Linked DNA regions of Caenorhabditis elegans. The protein of the gene in region 1 purifies or fractionates together with the protein of each later gene. This does not show direct contact. Each region holds a gene or a part of one and is shown on either strand. Other genes may lie near its edges.

Evidence for each region.
Region 2: the proteins of T23H2.3 (region 1) and sip-1 fractionate together in Caenorhabditis elegans (co-fractionation; one large-scale study listed by BioGRID). This does not show direct contact.

What each region holds. Positions count from the first base shown.
Region 1 is NC_003279.8:6,441,003-6,448,566, reverse strand, and holds T23H2.3 (Transcription termination factor 2), read left to right. Parts: upstream 1-2,101; 5' UTR 2,102-2,102; coding exon 2,103-2,171; intron 2,172-2,222; coding exon 2,223-2,714; intron 2,715-3,024; coding exon 3,025-3,512; intron 3,513-4,121; coding exon 4,122-4,657; intron 4,658-5,000; coding exon 5,001-5,940; intron 5,941-6,141; coding exon 6,142-6,453; intron 6,454-6,531; coding exon 6,532-6,700; 3' UTR 6,701-6,923; downstream 6,924-7,564. Other genes in the region: npp-12 (BIG2 domain-containing protein), read right to left, coding at 1-120, 167-428, 477-841, 884-1,032, 1,081-1,235.
Region 2 is NC_003281.10:10,505,453-10,508,804, reverse strand, and holds sip-1 (Stress-induced protein 1), read left to right. Parts: upstream 1-2,003; 5' UTR 2,004-2,097; coding exon 2,098-2,375; intron 2,376-2,431; coding exon 2,432-2,633; 3' UTR 2,634-2,699; downstream 2,700-3,352. Other genes in the region: sly-1 (Sec1 family domain-containing protein 1), read right to left, coding at 546-782, 1,077-1,290, 1,342-1,439, 1,490-1,551, 1,606-1,645; urm-1 (Ubiquitin-related modifier 1 homolog), read right to left, coding at 2,973-3,187, 3,238-3,325.

The DNA.
Region 1 (7,564 bases):
GTTTTCCGGTTTCTAGCATCCAATTATCTCCTGAAACATGCCATTGGACAGATTCGGCGTCTACCACATGAATGACAGTAGATGGTGGACGTAATCCAGCTTTAGCGCGCACATCGACATCTGAAAAATTCTTTTTGAACGAGAAACATCCATTTATGCAACTCACGGCTGCTCAAGAGATGTACTGCAGTGTTTCCAATCGTCAGAGCTCTCACAGATGAACTTTTTTTATCGAGCGACGCCACATCACCACCATCAATTTGAAGTTCGTATGACGGATTAGGCATGTTCACTATTTCTGTTCCACGCTGCTTGACAATTAAAACTTGGAATGGAAGAACTGAGTGAACTGGCAAGTAAACATCTTGAGATGGAACCAAAAGTAAATTTGCGACGACGGCGAGTTCGACGTTGTGCGCTGCTACTTTCTGAAAAAAAAAACATCCTAGGTAAATGTAGTTTTGCAGATTGCTCACCTGCAAATAAGCATCACTGAACTTGGTTGTCAATGTGGCTGTTCCTGTTCCAACACCTTCAATCAGAATTAGATATCCTTTCTTTCGATTCTTTTCCAGTTTAACAATTTCAGAAGGAGCTTCATATGTTGATTGCTCGAATGGAACAATTCGTAGTGGTTTCGCTTTATTTGAAGATGTTGATGCAAGCTCCCATTCCAATGCAATTTCACTGAGAGTAGAGAATCGATCGCCATCGGCGTTAAATGCGTCAACAGTCATTCGAGCAGGGGCAGCGTCCACGAATAGAACTTTCGTTGTTGTTTCGATGCTAATAGTTGCGATCTCATCTACTGTCACGCCGCAACTCAATGTTGTGCCGGATCCTTAATAAAAATTTTAAAACCAACATTTCACAAAAATTATACCTTTATCTTCTGCAAAAATAACAGCAGACAATTCCGAACTTCCAACAGTTCCAGGCTTCGCAACCGATCGAATTTCAGCTTTATCCGAACATCCAGCTTCGTTAGTTTCGATACGTTTAACAGAGACAATATCGGGACGAGTAGATCTCCTGCAATTAAATATATTAAAAAATAATTAGATCATTTCATTGAGTTACCATGTAAAACAACCTCCGGTTGGATGCGTTACTTCCAGCACAAATGAAACTGGGACCGTTGGATGGTACGGTAATAAAACTCGAGGAACATTTAGCCGGTATGATATTGTGATTTGCACTAAAGCCAAAACGAGCAGTGATCGAAGTATAATCATTGATCTATTCGGCTCTCCTACCTACAAAAAAATTAATGAAAATTTCTCTTATGGAAAAGGAAAACAGGTGGAGATGAGAGAAATTTATGTATTTAATATAAAAGTTAAAGTTAATTAACTATAGTGATCATGCATTAAATAAATAGTAGAATAAAAAATAAATTTAGCGATAACTCAGATCGGATTGAAGAAAAAAGAAACTGAAATTCTGCGAAAAAATTCAAAATTATTTCGTTGTACGCAAACACGGCGCGGTTCTTCACGACAATGAACCAATTTGGTGACCGTAGTTCATAATTCTAGATTCGGAATCTGAAGAAAAAGCGTAATTGGGGAAAAAACATGAAAAAACATGAAATTAATACCGTGAAATAAAATGCGCTTTTTTCCTTCTCGATCAAAGATATATTCATATTACCTCAAAAAAAATTTTACCTAACAAATTTGCTCGTAGATCTCTTTGTTATGGTTTTTTCCTGATATTTTCATTTCGACACATATTGCGACAACACGTGTTTTCATCAGCAGAAATTATTTGACAGTTATTTATTTTAAGTTACTTTATGATATTTTCAATAAAACGTGCTCAGAAAGTGCACAATGAGACGTTTCTTCTCGAGTTTCTATGTCTCCAAGACCCGGTTTACGAAAACCCGTGTTGTCTCGAATTATTGCAAGCGCGCTCCACTGCACTTCCATTTTTGCGCGAAGAAATGTTTTTGCAGTTTTCCTTGAATTTTTGTGGGGTTTTCAGAAAAACACTTTTAAAGGCACAATTTTGTATTTTACGTTAAGATTTTCCTAACACGTTCTTTTTTCCAATATTTTCAAGCCAGAACTGTTTTATTTCACGACAATTATTGCAGGATGGCATCGTTTCGTAAGAATCACGTCATTATTGATTCCTCAGACTCGTCGGAAGACGAGGATCGCAAGGTTTGTTCGAGTTTAACATTTGAATTTTGCTTTAAAATTATTGAATTTCAGGAAAGACACAGCTCCTCATCTGAAGTCGATGAAACAGCTTCAATGAGATCAACTGATAGCTCCGAGCCGCCCAGGACAATTATTGATGCCTCTCTGAATTCCATGGCTTCAACCGTGTACACATCAACTCCAAACTCCAAGCAGAGCATCTCCAGAACCGGTTCCTCCACCACCTACGGGAGCTCTAAATGCTCCACAGACGATCACTATCGTTCGAGAAGCTTCATTGACAACAGCTTCGAAAAACCAGTGACCCCGATCACCAAGAAGCTACAGGAATCCGATGAGCCCCGCGCAAAGCAGCAGCTCCGTGAGCGGCTCCTCAGAAAATCCATCAAACAGCAATCGGATCAAGATCTGACAGGTGGCTCATCGCGAAGTGGATGGGGAACTGGTGAAAATAGCAGTCTTGAAAGCAGTGATCTCATAAATTCGCATTTTTCGCCAATTGCGAAGACGTTCCGGCATGCTTCCGATTTGGATGATTCAATGGTAAGAATGGGGAAACATTGACCTAAAGCTGGCTCAAAATTCAAAATTTCCTTTTACTTTTTTCCGATATTTATCCAAAATTTCACATTTTACTTGCCAGAAATTATCTAGAAAACGATTTTTCAAGCGAGAAAATCACTTTTTGCAAGTTTTCAAGCCAACGTCTGACGTGTTTAACCAATTTTCGCCCAACGGAATCGGCTAGTGCTTCGGTATGTGACATAGTAAATTGATATTATTATCTATATCCTCTTTTTCGATATTTTCACAAAATTTCAGCTTTATTGTCAAAAAATATATAAATTTACAGAATACCTCTCCGCCGCCAAACCGTTCAACTCTTCCCTCGGTTGAAACAAGTTCTGGAAATTCTCCACAAACACCGTATCCAGGTTCTCCTGAAGCTTCTCCTCAACCGTCTCCTCCAAAAAATACTGCTTCAGAGCTCCAAAAGTTGAGCATAAAAGAGCTGGAAGCAAACAAAGATAAAAAGTTGAAACTTTTGAAGTTTTCATCGAATTTGCCGGACAATGGAGCACGTGTGAAGCTACAAGTTGATGAAATTACTGAAGAAATTGAACGAAGAATTATCAATGGAGTGACGGATACCATGGTGGTAGACAAAACCACGGCTATTCCCCCGCCACCACAGCCAAAAAACTTGATTGCTCCAATTCCACAGGATTTCGCGGCGATGTTGGACAAGAATGGGCGAAAAGTGATGAGCGGGCGGATGACAGAGCAGAAAATTCTCAAAGTCAATAAGATTTCCGATCGATTGATGCAACAGCTCGCCGAGTTCGTAAAAATTTTAGTTTCTTAGAAAATTGAGTCTCAGTTGACGGCTTCGTTCTATTTTACGAAAAAAAAAGAGTATTTGTGGATTCTGAGGGAACCAAAAGTTCTTTAAACTTTAATAAGCCACGCTCACAAAAATTGGCGTGGCTTGGAAACAGATATTTTAAAACAAATTTTTTTGATTCTTACAGTTTTTTTGAAAACAGTTCCCAAAAGCTGTGTGGATGCCATGCTGAAAAACTTGACCATAGAAATTTTAATGATAGAAAATACCATATTTTGGCCGAATATAACTAAAAATACAACTTTTCTTGTTTTCAAAAAACATTTTCGGTTTTTCTGCGTTGTTTTTGTGTTTCAATTAGCTATTCGAATAAGAAATTTTAATTACAAAACGAAAACCGGAAAACCAATCAGTCGAAAAACGGCCAAGTCAGACATTTTTTAGATTTTTATTTGAAATTGTAGAAATATATTTAATTCAATTTTAACAGTCATCATTTGAAACAAAAACCCAACATAGTGCTTCTCCTTCAAATTATAATCTAACAATTAATATAATTTCCGTAAGAAAATGGTCTTCTCTAAAATTATCTCTTCTTTTTTCAGCGCAACTCACACAATCCCAGCTGAAACAGACCTCACGGACACACCCGACGGGCTCCTCGTCGAGCTAATGCCTCACCAAAAAGCAGGGCTTCGCTGGCTTGTCTGGCGTGAGGGTCAACCACATTCGGGTGGGATCCTCGCAGACGATATGGGTCTTGGCAAGACTTTATCAATGTTATCATTGATTGTGCATCAGAAGGCAGCGAGAAGAGCACGGAAAGAGTCTGGAGATAATGCCGCGGATAAGGAGAAGAGAAGAGTGGCAAAAGAAGAAGGATTGTATCCATCAAATGGCACATTAATCATTGCACCAGCTTCACTTATTCACCAATGGGAAGCTGAAATCAATCGAAGACTCGAATCAGATTTGCTTTCCGTTTTTATGTTCCATGGAACAAAGAAACAGAGACAAATTGAGCCAAAGGAGCTTGCAAGATATGATGTCGTCATCACCACGTACACATTGGCAGCCAATGAGCTTATGGAGAAAAAGGCGGCTGGATCCAAGAAAGAGGAAGATTCCGACGATGAATCAGGTACGAATTTTAAATCTGAATTCAAGCTGAATTTTGATCACAATCCGATTTCCCTGGAAAATGAGTTATTTGTTCCAAAAAAACTATTTTCTTTTCAAAAAAAGTGGGAGTTTTCGGGAAAAATATCTATTTCAAGGAAATGTATTATTTCTTTTAAAAAAAGAACTTTCTGGAAAGTATAATTTCATTCCAATTCAATAATCGATTGCTTACAAAAACGATTTTGCTTTTGTGAAAACTCAGCATATGTTTTTTCTAAAAACTCTATAATTTGAAATGCCAATGTTTTTAAATAAATCAGAAATTTGAACCCATTTTCCGCGATTTCATTAATTTTTTCCAGAGAACGAAGAAAATCCCCGTCGCCCTGCTGGCAAAAACGACTCCCCTCTTGCTCGTGTCGCTTGGTCCCGTGTGATTCTCGACGAGGCTCATGCCATCAAAAATCGTCTCTCCCAATGTTCAAAAGCAGTGTGCCGGCTCTCATCATTCTCGCGTTGGTGTCTCTCGGGTACTCCGATTCACAATAACCTATGGGATTTGTACAGTCTCGTGAGGTTTTTGCGTATCCCGTTGTTCGGCGATCGGAAGTTCTGGGCCGAATCAATTATGCCAATGAAGACTGGAATGGCGGATCGTGTGAATTTGCTGACGAAAAATTTGATGCTCAGAAGAACTAAGGATCAGCAGTGCGCTCTGACCAATAAGAAAATTGTAAACTTGAAAGAAAAGAAAATCGAGATCCATGAGTTGGAGATGGTTGGAGATGAAGCCAATGGCTATGCAATTATGATGGAGGCGGCACAAAAGCTTGTTAAGCAAATCGTCACTAATACTGATGATATTCAAAAGTACGGTCAGATTCGTAGACGCAGACAACGAGGAAATGATGATGAATTCGCGAACCCGTACAACGTCGGGCCACGGAACTTGGCGGGAAACTCGAATTTCCAGAATATGTCATGCATTTTGTTGTTGCTGATGCGTCTTCGTCAAGCGTGTGTTCACTTTCATATCACCAAAAGCGGAATGGACTTGGACGCATTCAAGATTAACGGAGGAGACGACGAGGATGCTGATATGAAAGAGTTGGAGAATCTTATGGAGAAGACAATGGCGGATTTGACGATTGCCGATAGTGATAATGATGAGGAAGGCGTCGATACAAATAAGGAGGAGCCAAAACAACCACCCACGCGAATCTTTGAGCCCGATTTCATTAGCTGCAAGATGGCCAAAACGCTGGAAGTTGTTCGTGAAATTTTGGAGAAGAAGGAGAAAGTGTACCTTTTTTTTTCTTTTTGAGGATATACTATGAAATTTCAAGATAGAAACACTGACATTCTAGTAATCAGAACAGTTAATTTTTTTTTTTGAAAATAAATCAATGTTAAAAATTATTCAATTTGATGATGCAACCTGGATATGTCCCGAAGAGAAAATCCTTAAAACTACAATAAATGTTCAAAAATCAATATTTCCAGTGTGATTGTCTCCCAGTGGACTTCTGTGCTGAATCTTGTGGAAAAGCATATTCAAGCAGGCGGCCACAACTATACATCAATCACCGGCCAGGTTCTTGTCAAAGATCGCCAAGAACGAGTTGACAGTTTCAACCAGGAAAAAGGCGGAGCTCAGGTGATGCTGCTCTCATTGACTGCCGGAGGTGTTGGACTCAATTTGATTGGAGGAAATCATCTGATTATGGTTGATTTGCACTGGAATCCCGCACTGGAACAGCAGGCTTGTGACAGAATTTATCGAATGGGACAGAAGAAGGAAGTCTTTATTCATAGGTACTTTTTTTAAAAATCATGTTATGTGTCTAAATACTATGTACATATTTTTAGACTAAATATTTCAAAATTTTGCAGATTAATCGTGAAGGGGACCATCGAGCAACGAGTCATGGATCTCCAGGAGAAGAAGCTCGCATTGGCAGCTTCGGTGTTGGAAGGAACAGCGACCCGAAAATTGAACAAGCTCACCACCGCCGACATTCGTATGCTCTTTGGACTAGACGGATCGAGCAATGCGAATTAATTTTTTCTTTTTTTCAAACCATTCCCCCCCCCCCCCCTCTTTTCGCCAGATTGTTTCCCAAAAAGTCTGGATTTTTAACTTTTTTTGTAGCTTAAAATGTAGGATAGAAGGAATTTTAGCTCTCCTCTGGTAGAATGATATTTTTTACGTGTATGCCATCCCGACCTCAGCAGCTCGTATTTTTTCTTCTTTTATAAAATAGTATTGATTTAAATGAATGTGTGGTTCTTTCGTGATATCTTCTATTATGTCAGAACAATTAAAGAAAAATAAGTAAATGAGCGATTTAGTGAATGTGTGTTACCTGGGAATTTTCGATATATAACATTGCTTTTGTATTTTTTAAGGAATCGTAGGTAAAATATTGTAACCGTTTATACAAATGCATTTCTACATGATCATAATATTTGAACTTCCCCCTAATTGAAAACTGCAAGATCAATCAATGATTAGCTCCGCCCCTGGTAAAGTTCGAATACGCTGATTGGTTATAAAGAGGACGTGGCTTGTCATTTTGGAGGAATTTCAAACATGAAAAAATTCAATTGAGAAGAGATTTCAATTTTAAAATTGATATTTCTGAATTTCAAAATATTTTGGGTACTTGAAGAACCGTAAAGAAAAATCCCCAATCACAAGTTCTAGAGTATTCAAGAAGAAAAAAACCATAAAATAACAGAATTGGAACGGATCTTTATTCCATCGAAAAATAAAAAAAGAATTTGAAATTAAAAATGATGTTAATTGCCTGTTTCAGATGTCAACGTGTCTGTGAGAGAGAGAGAATTCATGTTAAAATGTTAAAATGAATATAATTATCTGACAAAACATGATGGGAGAGAGAATACAAAATTTCAGTTGTGG
Region 2 (3,352 bases), on another chromosome or scaffold:
TTTTTAACTAAAATTCTTTAAAATTTCCAGAAAAATACATTTTTTGGCTAAAATCTTTAATTTTTAAATTTTTCGATGTCATATCGGCTGGAAATTTTTTTTAATTGAATATTGTCCTACTTGGCGCGTTTTTGTGGAAAAATATTTGCTTTATCTTTAGCTTTTATTTTAGTGGGAACAATGGGAAGAGTGCTCTTTCAGACAATTTTTGAGCACTTTTCATTTTTTTTTTCCTAATGAAATAAAAGGTATTTTCAGATAAAACAATTTTTTTTTCAATTTTTTATCAGAAAATTTAATGAACAATTTTGGGAAAACCTGCTAAATTTGCTAGTTTTGTAAAATTTCGTATTGGTTTTAAATACACCCAAATAAACGAAAAAACGTGCACAATATGCCAATAATCAATTAAAAATCAATTTCCAGACGCCACAGCACCGAAAAATTGGCATAATTGGAAATTTTAGCGAAAACCAAGCGATTTTCTCCGAATTTTTGTTATAATATCCGCTACTTTCGAGCCATTTTGAGTATAATAACCGTACTTTTGCCACCATTTCAGCAGCATTTCCCTTCGGACATCTAATAATCGGAACAATTCCCATAGTGGCACAAACTGCAAAAAGTCCGTCGGCAATGGAATCAAGCATCGCATTCACGGCGACATCGGATGTTCCGGGTGAATTCATTGCGTGATATGAGAATGTACTATTTTCACTGTAACGACGGAGCACAAAGAGATCATCTTCCAGGGAAATGAAGTTGAGATATTGATCCACTACCTGGAAATTTTGAAAATGTCGGAAAATCTAATTTTTTTTTGAAATAAAAAGTTATTTTTGCTGAAAAACTAGTGCAAAATTCAATTTTATAAGTGTTTTTACGACAAACTTTGTTAGAATCAAGAAAAAAGGTTGATAATTTTCAAAATTCTGTACTTTTTGCAAGAAAAAATCCGAAAAAAAACCACAATTTTGAGATTTATAATGGTTTTTGCAGCACAAGTTATGAAGAATGTAGAAGGTTTTCGACTAGTTAATGCTGAATTAAATATATTTTTTAATTCTTTATCGCACTTTTTGAACTTGTGAAACTGCTCCCCCGTGTACTGCAGCTGAAGCGAGCGATTCGAGACGAGGACGAGCCAACGGGGAGATGAAATTGCAATAGAACGAGTCGTACATGGCTTTTTTGAGATCTTCACTCATCAAATCAATATTCTCATCGTTTGGCGACACGAAGTACACAGCTGGAACGTCGGTTAGCGGCTCACGGCGGGCTCCGATCAATCTGCAATATGAAAAATTGAATTTCTGCGCAGTTTTTTAGCTAAAATCGCACAAATGAAGGGTAACTCCGAGTTCTCTGAGCTGTTTGACTGGGAGAAGCGGCGAAATTATATCCTGTCCGGTTCTGTCGAGCACCAATACTTTCCATACCTAAATTCACACAATAAATTTGATTTTTCAGGTATTTTAAATCGGCCTACCGGTTCTCTGACTCCAGAATTGACTACGGGCTCATTCAAATTGATCATCGTCCGTAAAGCGACTGAAAATATGGAGATTTATTTATATTTTATTCATATCAAGCATGAATTCTCACCTATTTGTCGCGTTCGAACGCTTTCCAGCTCCGCCGGCATAATTTTGTTCGTTAAAATATTTTTTAAAACCCTGGAAAATTATCTGATAAAATCTGTGTAGATTTACGGCCACGTAGAATAGAAGACGAGAAGCGTGTCAAACGGTGTACACTGGCGCATTTTGCGTGCAATGCATTTTTTTAAAAGAAAAGCGGAATTTTAAAACAGAATTGTGTGAAAAATTTAATTTTCAGAGAAAGATTTTAGAGAAAAAAAAATGCAAAATTCTGATAAAAAATAAATAATTTTTATTAAAATACGCAATTTCTCGTAAAATATAATGTTTGACCTACATTTTGATCTCTCACTGATCATCGAAACAACAACAAAAATGTAAACAAGTAAACAACAACAAACAACAAACAAAAATTGGGTATAAAAGGCGCGGATTTTGCCATTTTCCTCAGACGTTCATCGTTTTTCACCTCATTCTTAACCCTATTCACTCAACTATGTCTTCTCTCTGCCCATACACTGGCCGTCCAACCGGACTCTTCCGCGACTTCGAGGACATGATGCCATACTGGGCTCAGCGTCACAGCATGCTCAACAACTTCAACAACATCGTGCCACAACAGCTCAACGAGGTCGAGAACACCGCCCAGAAGTTCTGTGTCAAGCTCGACGTCGCCGCGTTCAAGCCGGAAGAGTTGAAGGTCAATCTTGAGGGACACGTTCTCACCATTGAGGGACACCACGAGGTCAAGACCGAGCACGGGTTCAGCAAGAGGTTGGTTTTATTTTATTTTTCATTTATTGGAATTAAAATTAATTAAAAATTTTCAGATCGTTCACTCGCCAGTTCACTCTTCCAAAGGACGTCGACTTGGCTCACATCCACACCGTCATCAACAAGGAAGGACAGATGACCATCGATGCTCCAAAGACCGGCTCCAACACCACCGTTCGTGCTCTTCCAATCCACACTTCTGCTGGACACGCTGTCACCCAGAAGCCATCCAGCACCACCACCACCGGAAAGCACTAAATTGCCCCCAACTTTCTAGATTACATACTGCCAGGACAAAAATAAAGCTGTAAAATGAGAAAAAAAGTGTTTTTCTTTTGTTTTGGGTACAGGGGGGAGTCTTCGGTTTCGAAAGTTCTTCCATCTTTCTGGAAATGCCTAGAAACTGTCGTTCTGTGAAGCGTTTTTTCTTCTTCGATTAAGATGAGTCCCCTTGAAAGTTCCGCTCGTCGAAAGTTTCAGCAACCTTCGTCCGTTGAAGATACCTGCTCTGTTAACTAATTTCGAAGTGATACATTTCAAATTCATTATCAACTTAAAAAACAGCTTAAAAACAAAACAATTAGCAAAAATCCGAGTTCATCCACCATGAAGCGTCGAGACAAAAGTAATCGTATCCCCTGCCTCAATAACCGTATCGTATTCTAACAGCAATCCGGTATCCGTGTCATTGATAAGGGTAATCACTCCGTGAGCAACTTCGCTGGCGTCATCGTTGAGCAACATATTTATCCGGTGAACATCCGTGACGAGGTTGTCCCGGACAAATTTCAGCACGTCTCGGAGTGTAGAGTCTGAAATAAAAATCGTCAAAATTCGTTTTTAAAATTCAAAAATCAAGTACCTGCCGGAATCTGAACCTTTTGTGCTTTTGCTTTGACGAGAAACTCGGCTCCGCCGGAAAAATCAATTGTGACTGGAATTGTGCTCATCTGAAATCAATAATACTTTAAAACATA